3 linked regions of the Saccharomyces cerevisiae S288C genome follow. The protein of the gene in region 1 interacts with the protein of each later gene in a biochemical or structural test. Each region holds a gene or a part of one and is shown in the gene's direction. Other genes may lie near its edges. The genes, in order: SED5, COY1 and NYV1.

Region 1 (3,550 bases):
ACTAGTGGCATCTATTATACACAATTACTCCAGTAGCTGCCACAAAGCACCCAAAGATAAGAATAATTACGGAAAATGAAATTTTTACTTTGAATATGATGATATGGGCATTGCAGGTTTGTAGTAAGAGCAATTTACAGGAATTCCTGACGGAATATTAATGTTTTCTTACTGTTTAATGCGATGTACATATTGTCAATACTAATGGTCACCACTGGAAATGGCTATCTTTCGTCTTCGTGAATAACGATCGCCGAGAGTCGGACCGAGTGAGTCAGCGTGATCGGCCTCATTTACCTTGTCGCCTTGCACGTCGGTATATAAACGTATGTGGATACTTTAAGAAGGGAAAGCGCAACCGTCCAAATTCTAATGAACAAAAGAACACAGGAATACAAGAACACAAGAGCGATAATGTCTGCCACTCTGTTCAATAACATCGAATTGCTGCCCCCTGATGCCCTTTTTGGTATTAAGCAAAGGTACGGGCAAGATCAACGTGCTACCAAGGTCGACTTGGGTATCGGGGCCTACAGAGACGACAACGGTAAACCATGGGTCTTGCCAAGTGTTAAAGCCGCCGAAAAGCTAATTCATAACGACAGCTCCTACAACCATGAATACCTCGGTATTACCGGTCTGCCAAGTTTGACATCTAACGCCGCCAAGATCATCTTCGGTACGCAATCCGATGCCTTTCAGGAAGACAGAGTAATCTCAGTACAATCACTGTCTGGTACGGGTGCTCTTCATATATCTGCGAAGTTTTTTTCAAAATTCTTCCCAGATAAACTGGTCTATTTGTCTAAGCCTACTTGGGCCAACCACATGGCCATTTTTGAGAATCAAGGCTTGAAAACGGCGACTTACCCTTACTGGGCCAACGAAACTAAGTCTTTGGACCTAAACGGCTTTCTAAATGCTATTCAAAAAGCTCCAGAGGGCTCCATTTTCGTTCTGCACTCTTGCGCCCATAACCCAACTGGTCTGGACCCTACTAGTGAACAATGGGTTCAAATCGTTGATGCTATCGCCTCAAAGAACCACATCGCCTTATTTGACACCGCCTACCAAGGGTTTGCCACTGGAGATTTGGACAAGGATGCCTATGCTGTGCGTCTAGGTGTGGAGAAGCTTTCAACGGTCTCTCCCGTCTTTGTCTGTCAGTCCTTTGCCAAGAACGCCGGTATGTACGGTGAGCGTGTAGGTTGTTTCCATCTAGCACTTACAAAACAAGCTCAAAACAAAACTATAAAGCCTGCTGTTACATCTCAATTGGCCAAAATCATTCGTAGTGAAGTGTCCAACCCACCCGCCTACGGCGCTAAGATTGTCGCTAAACTGTTGGAAACGCCAGAATTAACGGAACAGTGGCACAAGGATATGGTTACCATGTCCTCCAGAATTACGAAAATGAGGCACGCATTAAGAGACCATTTAGTCAAGTTGGGCACTCCTGGCAACTGGGATCATATAGTAAATCAATGCGGGATGTTCTCCTTTACAGGATTGACTCCTCAAATGGTTAAACGACTTGAAGAAACCCACGCAGTTTACTTGGTTGCCTCAGGTAGAGCTTCTATTGCTGGATTGAATCAAGGAAACGTGGAATACGTGGCTAAAGCCATTGATGAAGTGGTGCGCTTCTATACTATTGAAGCTAAATTGTAATGATTAAATAATACTTATACTTACCTATTACACTCTTCATATTTTTTTTAATGTAAAGAAAGTAAAAAAAAAAAAAAATAAAAAAAAGAGAAATGCTCTTTCTTTACCTTCACAGGTGTATTATTATGTTGTTGTAATATCCGGGTAGGTTTATTGATCGAGGCGAGGCGAAAGGGCATATTCGAAACAATCATTATGATAATAATGTCAATATAGAAATTGAAAAAAAAAAAAAAATCCTACCGCCGCATCGACGCTCCTGTTAGACCTTTGAACGGAAATCACCCACTCTTTACTGTATATATTTTATTCCACCTCTGTTTCCAACGACCATTTCACCATACCACACAACTCCCATGAACATAAAGGATAGAACTTCAGAATTTCAACAAAGTGTGTTGAGTTACAAGAAAAGAAACAAAAACTTTAGAGAACAGCAGAGGGAACGTCTACAAGAGAAAGAAAGTGAAAACTTTGCCAACAACACAACCGGCAATGGGAAAAGTGTCTCTGAGTTTCAAAAAAAGGCTTCTGGCATAGCTCACGAAATTTCATCCACCGCACAATTATTATCGAAATTAGCAGTGCTGGCCAAAAGGAAACCGATGTTCAATGACAACCCTGTAGAGATTGCCGAGCTATCATTTTTGATCAAAAGGAAGATTTATGCCATCGAACAAAGTTTAGTGCAATTAAGTCAGCTCAAGAAAACCGACGTGAATGGCAACACATCAAATCAATCTTCTAAGCAACCTAGTGCCGTACAGCACTCCAAAAATGTCGTAAATCTTTTAAACACGCAAATGAAAAACATATCAGGAAGTTTTAAAGACGTATTGGAGGAAAGGCAACGACTAGAAATGGCTAACAAAGACAGATGGCAAAAACTAACCACCGACACTGGACATGCACCAGCTGATGACCAAACGCAAAGCAATCACGCCGCGGACTTGACCACGTATAACAACTCCAACCCATTCATGACCTCACTACTAGATGAATCCTCAGAAAAGAATAACAACTCGTCCAACCAAGGAGAACTGTCTTTCCCTCAAAACGACTCTCAACTAATGTTAATGGAAGAGGGACAGTTATCCAATAACGTCTACTTACAAGAAAGAAATAGGGCGGTGGAGACAATAGAATCCACAATCCAGGAAGTGGGAAATCTCTTCCAACAACTGGCCTCCATGGTTCAAGAACAGGGCGAAGTAATCCAAAGGATTGATGCAAACGTAGACGACATCGATTTAAACATTAGTGGTGCTCAAAGGGAACTTTTGAAATACTTCGACAGGATAAAGAGTAATAGATGGTTAGCCGCAAAGGTTTTTTTTATAATCTTTGTATTTTTCGTTATTTGGGTTTTAGTCAATTAAAAGCAAAGTAAAAGAAAAAAAGATACATATTTGATTATTTATTTTTTTTCCTTCTCTCATCTTTTCTGTACAATAATATAGCAATAACAGATAAAAATAATGAATGCACATTCCCTTCTATACCTATGAACGCAAAAAAAAAAGACAACAAAAAAATAAAAACTATTAATTATGACTTAGCATTATGAACTTCATGTATATAAAAGAGCGTATACAGAACATGGAAAGTAAGAACACCTTTTTTTTTTCTTTCATCTAAACCGCATAGAACACGTTCAAAGCCCCATTTCTGCTTGTAGTTCTCTTAATGCTTTTTCATCTTCATCTTCTTCATCCTCTTCCTCTTCCCCGTCCTTCACAGAGTTCTCACTTTGTTTAATTTTATTACTTGGAACACTAGGTAGTGAGACTTTGTTCTCTGAGATAGGCGCCGCATTAACATTATTATTAACGATCTTGGACGTTTCTTGGTTAGCATTTTCTTGAGCCAGCATGTCCAA
Region 2 (4,267 bases), on another chromosome or scaffold:
TGCCAAAACTTATTGTCTCCGACATGGATTACCACTGTTTTGTATACCATGTGGATGCTTATATGGTCATTTGTGGGCGCTGTTTATGCCACCTTAGTACTGTTCGTGTTTTATAAAAAACGCAAGGACGTTAGGGATATTTTACACTGTACCAATTCAGGTTTAAACCTGACAAGGTTCGCAAGGCTGTTGATATTCTGTTTCATTATTATTTTAGTCATGTTCCCTTTTTCTGTTTACACCTTTGTTCAAGATTTACAGCAGGTAGAAGGACACTATACTTTTAAAAATACCCATTCCAGCACCATCTGGAATACCATTATTAAATTTGACCCTGGCAGACCAATTTATAATATATGGCTTTATGTTTTGATGTCTTACCTAGTATTTCTAATCTTTGGCTTAGGTTCTGATGCTTTGCATATGTACTCTAAATTCCTGCGTTCCATCAAACTAGGATTTGTACTTGACATGTGGAAAAGATTCATTGATAAGAATAAGGAAAAACGAGTAGGCATATTGCTAAACAAGCTGTCCTCACGCAAAGAGAGCCGTAACCCATTTTCTACAGACTCTGAGAACTATATCTCCACGTGTACAGAAAACTATTCTCCCTGTGTAGGTACACCAATATCACAAGCGCATTTCTATGTCGACTATAGGATTCCAGATGATCCTAGAAAATCTCAAAATAAAAGCAAAAAATATTTGTTTGCTGATAAAGAAACAGATGATATTCTTGATGAAATAGACCTAAAAGAAAGTAGGCACATCCCTTACGTCACGCAAGGACAGAGCTTTGACGACGAAATATCACTTGGAGGATTCTCAAAAGTTACTCTCGATTATTCAGAAAAGCTTCATAATTCTGCAAGCTCCAATTTTGAAGGGGAAAGTCTTTGCTACTCTCCAGCTTCAAAAGAAGAGAATTCAAGCTCAAACGAACATAGTTCAGAAAATACTGCAGGCCCTTAACACAAGAGTGTCGCATTATATTTACTGGACTAGGAGTATTTTATTTTTACAGGACTAGGATTGAAATACTGCTTTTTAGTGAATTGTGGCTCAAATAATGTAACGATGAGCTCATCAGCTAATATGTGGCTTAGCGGTAAAAATGACGAATTGTGTGTAAACTTTACTTTAATATTTACTGCTTTTTTGCTACTTTGGTTTCTATTTTTTTCTATAGAAAAGCAATAACGTCTGTATTATATATAAATATAAGGAGAAATTGATACAAGTTCCACACAAGAAAAATTTTTTAAGCTCGAAACAAAAGTAAGCTTTTGCTCCAAAAGTCGATTAGCAGAACAGTCTTTAATAAACGAGAGAATTGGCACGATCACTTAATTGGCCATTTTTTTAGGAGCATACCAAAATTCAGGCCAGGAAAACATGAAAGAGCATCATATCTCCGCTCATAATCAAAGAATATTTAGGTACCCACAATTTCAGTTCGCTCTATCACTATTCTGCACACCAAGTTGTAGTGGTTACTTGTGTCATTCAAGAAAACCATTACTGTCATAGAGAATGTTACGTAACAAATGATATTATCTTGGGGCTCATGAAAATGCCAAAATAATATGTTTAAGAGTTTTGAATGAACACAGTACAATAAATTGTGCGTAATTGCTTCATTTCTTCACTCTGTTATATTAGCTCGTCAAAAATAATTTGACAATGGATACGTCAGTATATTCTCATGCATTGGATATTTGGGCCAAGGCAGATTTAACGAATCTTCAAAGAGAATTGGATGCTGATGTTATAGAGATTAAGGATAAAGAAACCCTGTCCTTGAATTCAAGAAAGTCATTAGCCACTGAGACTAAAAAATTTAAAAAACTCGAACCTGAGGAAAAATTGAACAATGTGAATAAAATAATTAAGCAGTACCAACGTGAAATTGATAATTTGACACAGAGATCAAAATTCTCTGAAAAGGTTCTTTTTGACGTATACGAAAAGCTTTCAGAGGCTCCTGATCCACAGCCGCTACTACAAAGTTCGTTGGAAAAATTGGGCAAAATTGATGACTCGAAGGAACTTAAGGAAAAAATAAGCTACCTAGAAGATAAGCTAGCCAAATATGCAGATTATGAGACTTTGAAATCAAGGTTACTGGACCTAGAGCAAAGCTCTGCAAAAACATTGGCAAAAAGACTGACTGCGAAAACTCAAGAAATCAATTCTACCTGGGAGGAAAAAGGAAGAAATTGGAAAGAGAGAGAAGCAGATCTATTGAAACAATTAACAAATGTACAGGAGCAAAACAAGGCACTAGAGGCCAAAATATCTAAAAATATAGATATAGAAGGTAATGGAAACGAAGATGGTGACCAAGAAAACAATCAAAAAGAAGTATCTACAAGGATTGCTGAATATAATCTAGTAACACAGGAGTTGGAAACTACGCAGGCTAGAATATATCAGTTAGAGAAAAGAAATGAGGAACTAAGTGGTGCTCTTGCAAAGGCAACTAGTGAAGCAGAAAAAGAAACTGAGTTACATGCAAAGGAACTAAAACTTAACCAGCTGGAAAGCGAAAATGCATTGTTGAGTGCATCCTATGAGCAGGAACGGAAATCAACATCACATGCAATAAATGAGTTAAAAGAACAATTAAATAGCGTTGTGGCGGAATCGGAATCTTACAAGTCGGAGCTAGAAACTGTTAGAAGAAAACTAAACAATTATTCTGATTACAATAAGATAAAAGAAGAACTTTCTGCATTGAAAAAAATTGAGTTTGGGGTAAACGAAGATGATTCTGATAATGACATTCGCTCTGAAGACAAGAATGATAATACTTTCGAAAGTTCCTTACTATCTGCAAATAAGAAGCTCCAGGCTACTTTGGCGGAATACCGCTCAAAAAGTACGGCTCAAGAGGAAGAACGAAACGAATTGAAAAAATCTGTGGACCAATTGAAGCAGCAAATAGCTACTCTCAAAGAAGCAAATGAAAAATTAGAGACGGACCTAGAAAAAGTAGAGAACGTCAGTCCTCACTTCAACGAGACTGCAAGTATGATGTCTGGTGTAACAAGACAAATGAACAATCGTACGTCCCATAAAATGTCCCCAACGAGTTCTATTATTGGTATTCCAGAAGATGGGGAACTTTCTGGAAACCAATCAACCATTTTACCAATAGTTACTAAACAAAGAGACAGATTTCGTTCGAGAAATATGGATCTGGAAAAGCAACTAAGACAAGGAAACTCAGAAAAGGGTAAGCTTAAACTAGAAATTTCGAAGCTAAAAGGCGACAATACGAAGCTTTATGAACGGATTAGGTATCTGCAATCCTATAATAATAACAACGCTCCCGTTAATCAAAGTACAGAGCGTATTGACGTGGAATCCCAATACTCAAGGGTGTATGATGAATCGTTGCATCCAATGGCAAATTTTAGACAGAACGAATTAAACCACTACAAAAACAAGAAATTATCAGCTTTAGAGAAGTTATTTTCCAGTTTTGCAAAAGTCATTTTACAAAATAAAATGACAAGGATGGTATTCCTCTTTTACTGTATCGGTTTACACGGACTCGTATTCATGATGAGCATGTATGTGATTAATATTAGCGGCTACATGACACCTGAGGTTGGTATAGTACAATCGGCAAAGTCTTCTTCAAATCTCAACGGAGGACTTGGGGGAGCAGAAAAAGTAGCTGCAGGCGTTGGTTCAGTTCATGGCATAAATCGATAGATGCCTTTATTCACTAAATTCTAATAGCTCGGTATGAAGAACGCACACGTTCCGTACTAGAGAGGGAATGAGTAACGATTGACATATTGATATAGACAGTAGCATTTCTTATTATCTTATCTACGGGATTTTTTCAGTTTATGAGCATTTCTTATACCTTTGTTCATTATAAAACTATGTTCAATACTTTGAACGTAGGATTATCCGATATAATATAATAATATTAATAAAAAACTTATTTTAGAGTTATGTGATATGACGGGGAGATAAAATTACATAGATAAAAGATTAAAATTAACAGAGAATTATATTATCATTATTTTTCATCTTCTATTTAAGCAGCAATACGCTTTTGGGCGGCGATTCTACCTCTTTGTCTAGAAGTCAATCTAACGACCTTCTTTTCAGCAGCCTTGGCGACAGCTTCTTCCTTTTCAGTGACAACTAATTCAATGTGGGATGGAGAAGATTCGTACTTGTTGATTCTACCGTGAGCTCTGTAAGTTCTTCTTCTTTGCTTTGGAGCTTGGTTAACTTGGAT
Region 3 (3,276 bases), 130 kb from region 1:
GTGCATGAACATTGCCTCATCAAAAGCATACGTGATGATGGCGCATTGCACTCATGGAGCGACTCATCAAAGGTATTTTATCCCAAGTCATTTTACGCTACCGCTACTAATAAGAAGAATAACAAGTTAGCCAGCGCCAGCATGAACAAGACCGCCACAAGTAATAGGACGGTGAGCGATGAGATTTATTTCCACTCCACTAAGCCGCAGTTCGATGGTCAAGGAAGCGCTGAACGTACTAGAACACTAACCAAGAGGAATAGCTTCAAGAGGACTAGAATACTGAAGGCTCGAGACGATTCCGAACTGCTGAACGAAAATCGCTCATCTTTGATGACCCCGTCCTTAAGCTCGGTCATGTCGCAAGTTAGGAAAACAAATTCCGCCAAGACGTTATCGGGCGAATGCCCCATACATGAGGGCCACTTAACACAGAGCATAAAGAGGAAGTTCTCCGAGGAAGCTCAAAGCGACTGTTCTTCATTGAGCTCCTCTAAACTTCATCCCTTGACAGATGATATTGCTGACGCTGTCGATTTGCAGACCCCCGCGATTGGCGATGAGGTACTGGCTGAGCCGGTCGTGCCCAAAATGAAAATAATAAACATAAATGATCTCGATTTGTTCGACGACTGGGAGGTTAAGGATTTAGTCGATATCTTTCCTCCCGTATACGAACGGCGTCCGCGATCGTCCTCTGCCCTTTCACTGGTTTCTGCGTCGTCCGATGCCAAACTTCGTCCGACCTCTGTGGACTTCCAAATCATCGACAAGAAAGGCGGCAAGACTTCAAGAAGGAAGAGTAGGAGCAAATCGACTACAGAAAACATGATTTACGAAAATGACCTGGTAGAATTAGAACAATGGCCATCTGCATCACCATCGCCCGAGACCGACGGTTCGATTGCATCTAGCGAGCTCTTGCCCAATAAAAGAATAAGACAAAAAAGTTTGAATACCAATTTCCTAAAGTTATACTCTATTGAAACATCATGTAAAAGGAAGAGTATTTTACCCGAAGTCGAAGTAGATGACCATCTGTTGAAGCAGCTAACGTATTCCGAAATTCGGTCTTTGGAAATCAAAAAGGAGCCAAATGTCTCTACGAACGATATTAAGCTTGCCCTAATTACTAGGAAAAAATTATGGTCTGACATGGTCCATGAAACAAGAAATGATCTTTTTGGCGATTCTACCCCCTGGAATTTGCACTTTGTTGCAACGACAAGCAATACGGAACCTTCGCAAGGCCGTGAATCCGCAAGCGAACATGCAACGGCGGATTTGAAAAGTTCTTTGGTCCGCGTACACTCAGACGTCAAGCCATGGTTCAACAATGGCGGCACAATGCTCAAACCATGCGGAAAACTAAATTTAGGCAAAGTCACCAATAAGACTTCCGCACCTACGAGAGAGATTCAATATGTCGTAAAGGGCTGGTGTGACAGCAGGTTTCTCTGATAGACCCCCCACCTTTTCATCGCCTTCACCCCACCCATTTGCATTATCTAAAAATAGTAAACTATATATTCTACCACCACATTCATTATATATAATATTTAAAACAACGCATTACCACCAAGCGCCCGGGTAATATTCGCCTCAAACGATCGAAGAAAGAAAAAATGAGGTCACAATAATGATGAAAAAAAGCCCCTCTATGAATTTTCTAGCACTTGACTAAGTTGGAGCAACAGCTATTAAATTTGAAGAACAGAGTGAAAAGCGACAATTTATTAAGCTGTTAGAGCATTGGACTTTTATATTTTTACCAAATGAAACGCTTTAATGGTATGTATAAATATTTCTACACAATTAACAAATGTTTAAAAAAGGGATTATGCGAATGCTCATCCCCCCATGCCATAATTTTACTATGTTACATTCAGTAGACTAACGTTCCATTTTGCTTGATTTTGCATATGGTCTTAGTAAGTTATGTGGAAGTTATAAAAAATGGTGAAACAATATCTAGTTGTTTCCAGCCGTTCCAGAAAAACGAAAACTATGGTACAATAACTTCAGCAAACGAGCAGATAACGCCGGTCATTTTCCATAATTTGATCATGGATATGGTATTACCCAAAGTAGTTCCGATCAAGGGGAACAAAGTTACCAAGATGTCAATGAATCTCATCGACGGATTCGATTGTTTCTACTCCACGGATGACCATGACCCCAAAACTGTGTACGTTTGCTTCACATTAGTAGATATGCCCAAGATTTTGCCCATCAGGATACTAAGTGGGCTGCAGGAATACGAGTCCAACGCTACAAACGAACTTTTAAGTTCGCATGTAGGTCAAATACTAGACTCTTTCCATGAAGAGCTGGTCGAATACCGTAACCAAACTTTAAATAGTTCTGGAAATGGCCAATCTAGTAATGGGAATGGTCAGAACACTATAAGTGACATCGGGGATGCCACCGAAGACCAAATAAAGGACGTCATCCAGATAATGAACGATAACATCGACAAGTTCTTGGAGAGACAAGAAAGAGTTTCTTTATTGGTGGATAAAACTTCCCAACTAAATAGCAGCAGTAATAAATTTAGGCGCAAAGCGGTCAATATAAAAGAAATAATGTGGTGGCAGAAGGTCAAAAATATTACGTTATTAACTTTCACTATTATACTATTTGTAAGTGCTGCTTTCATGTTTTTCTATCTGTGGTAAGTAAATAAAAAAAAAGGGGAGCTGTCCCACGACAATAACATTAATAACGGTTGTATTTCTTTTGTTCCTGAGAGGAAGAGAAAAATAAAATAAAAATAAGGTAAATATTTATAGGTATGTATATGCTCACGATGGCACCATCCTACCTATTATTTCTTATTATATAAACAGTGTCTATCTCATTATGATATTAAATGTATACTTTTAAGGGGGAAAACTTTTTGGTTTAGGAATATAGAAAAAAAGAGATGATATAAATGTTTGCATGTCCATTGTAAATGCATTGGCTAGATATCCCATTTAGCAAAATCTGGGATATCGATATGGAAGAAAGGTAGATTTGTTCCTGAAGCGGTATAAACGCTATATTTTTCAGGATTTTCTTCGCCTTGAGGTACTCTGGCGACGTGATAACTTGTATGACCGGCAACAATGGATTCATCACTGTATTCTTCGTTCAGAGTACCAAATCCTCTGCTAATTAAACCTCTCTTCACCCATGGTGAAATGATACCCACAAAGTGGAATTCAACTTGCCTATCTGCATATTGATTTATGGCCTTTCTCAAATCAACCAATGATTGAAGAGCCGTAGCGT

What was found.
Region 2: the proteins of SED5 (region 1) and COY1 form a complex in vitro, tested with the Saccharomyces cerevisiae proteins (one study listed by BioGRID).
Region 3: the proteins of SED5 (region 1) and NYV1 form a complex in vitro, tested with the Saccharomyces cerevisiae proteins (2 studies listed by BioGRID).

Annotation. Positions count from the first base shown.
Region 1 is NC_001144.5:194,950-198,499, reverse strand, and holds SED5 (t-SNARE syntaxin), read left to right. Parts: upstream 1-2,027; coding exon 2,028-3,050; downstream 3,051-3,550. Other genes in the region: aspartate transaminase AAT2, read left to right, coding at 415-1,671; ESCRT-III subunit protein SNF7, read right to left, coding at 3,326-3,550. UniProt on the Saccharomyces cerevisiae protein: Required for vesicular transport between the endoplasmic reticulum and the Golgi complex. Acts as a target organelle soluble NSF attachment protein receptor (t-SNARE).
Region 2 is NC_001143.9:109,923-114,189, reverse strand, and holds COY1 (CCAAT displacement transcription factor COY1), read left to right. Parts: upstream 1-1,686; coding exon 1,687-3,726; downstream 3,727-4,267. Other genes in the region: STE3 (Ste3p), read left to right, coding at 1-975; 60S ribosomal protein uL22 RPL17A, read right to left, coding at 4,061-4,267. UniProt on the Saccharomyces cerevisiae protein: May be involved in intra-Golgi transport.
Region 3 is NC_001144.5:325,915-329,190, reverse strand, and holds NYV1 (Nyv1p), read left to right. Parts: upstream 1-1,775; coding exon 1,776-1,791; intron 1,792-1,932; coding exon 1,933-2,678; downstream 2,679-3,276. Other genes in the region: GIS3 (Gis3p), read left to right, coding at 1-1,461; SUL2 (sulfate permease), read right to left, coding at 2,966-3,276. UniProt on the Saccharomyces cerevisiae protein: Vacuolar v-SNARE required for docking. Only involved in homotypic vacuole fusion.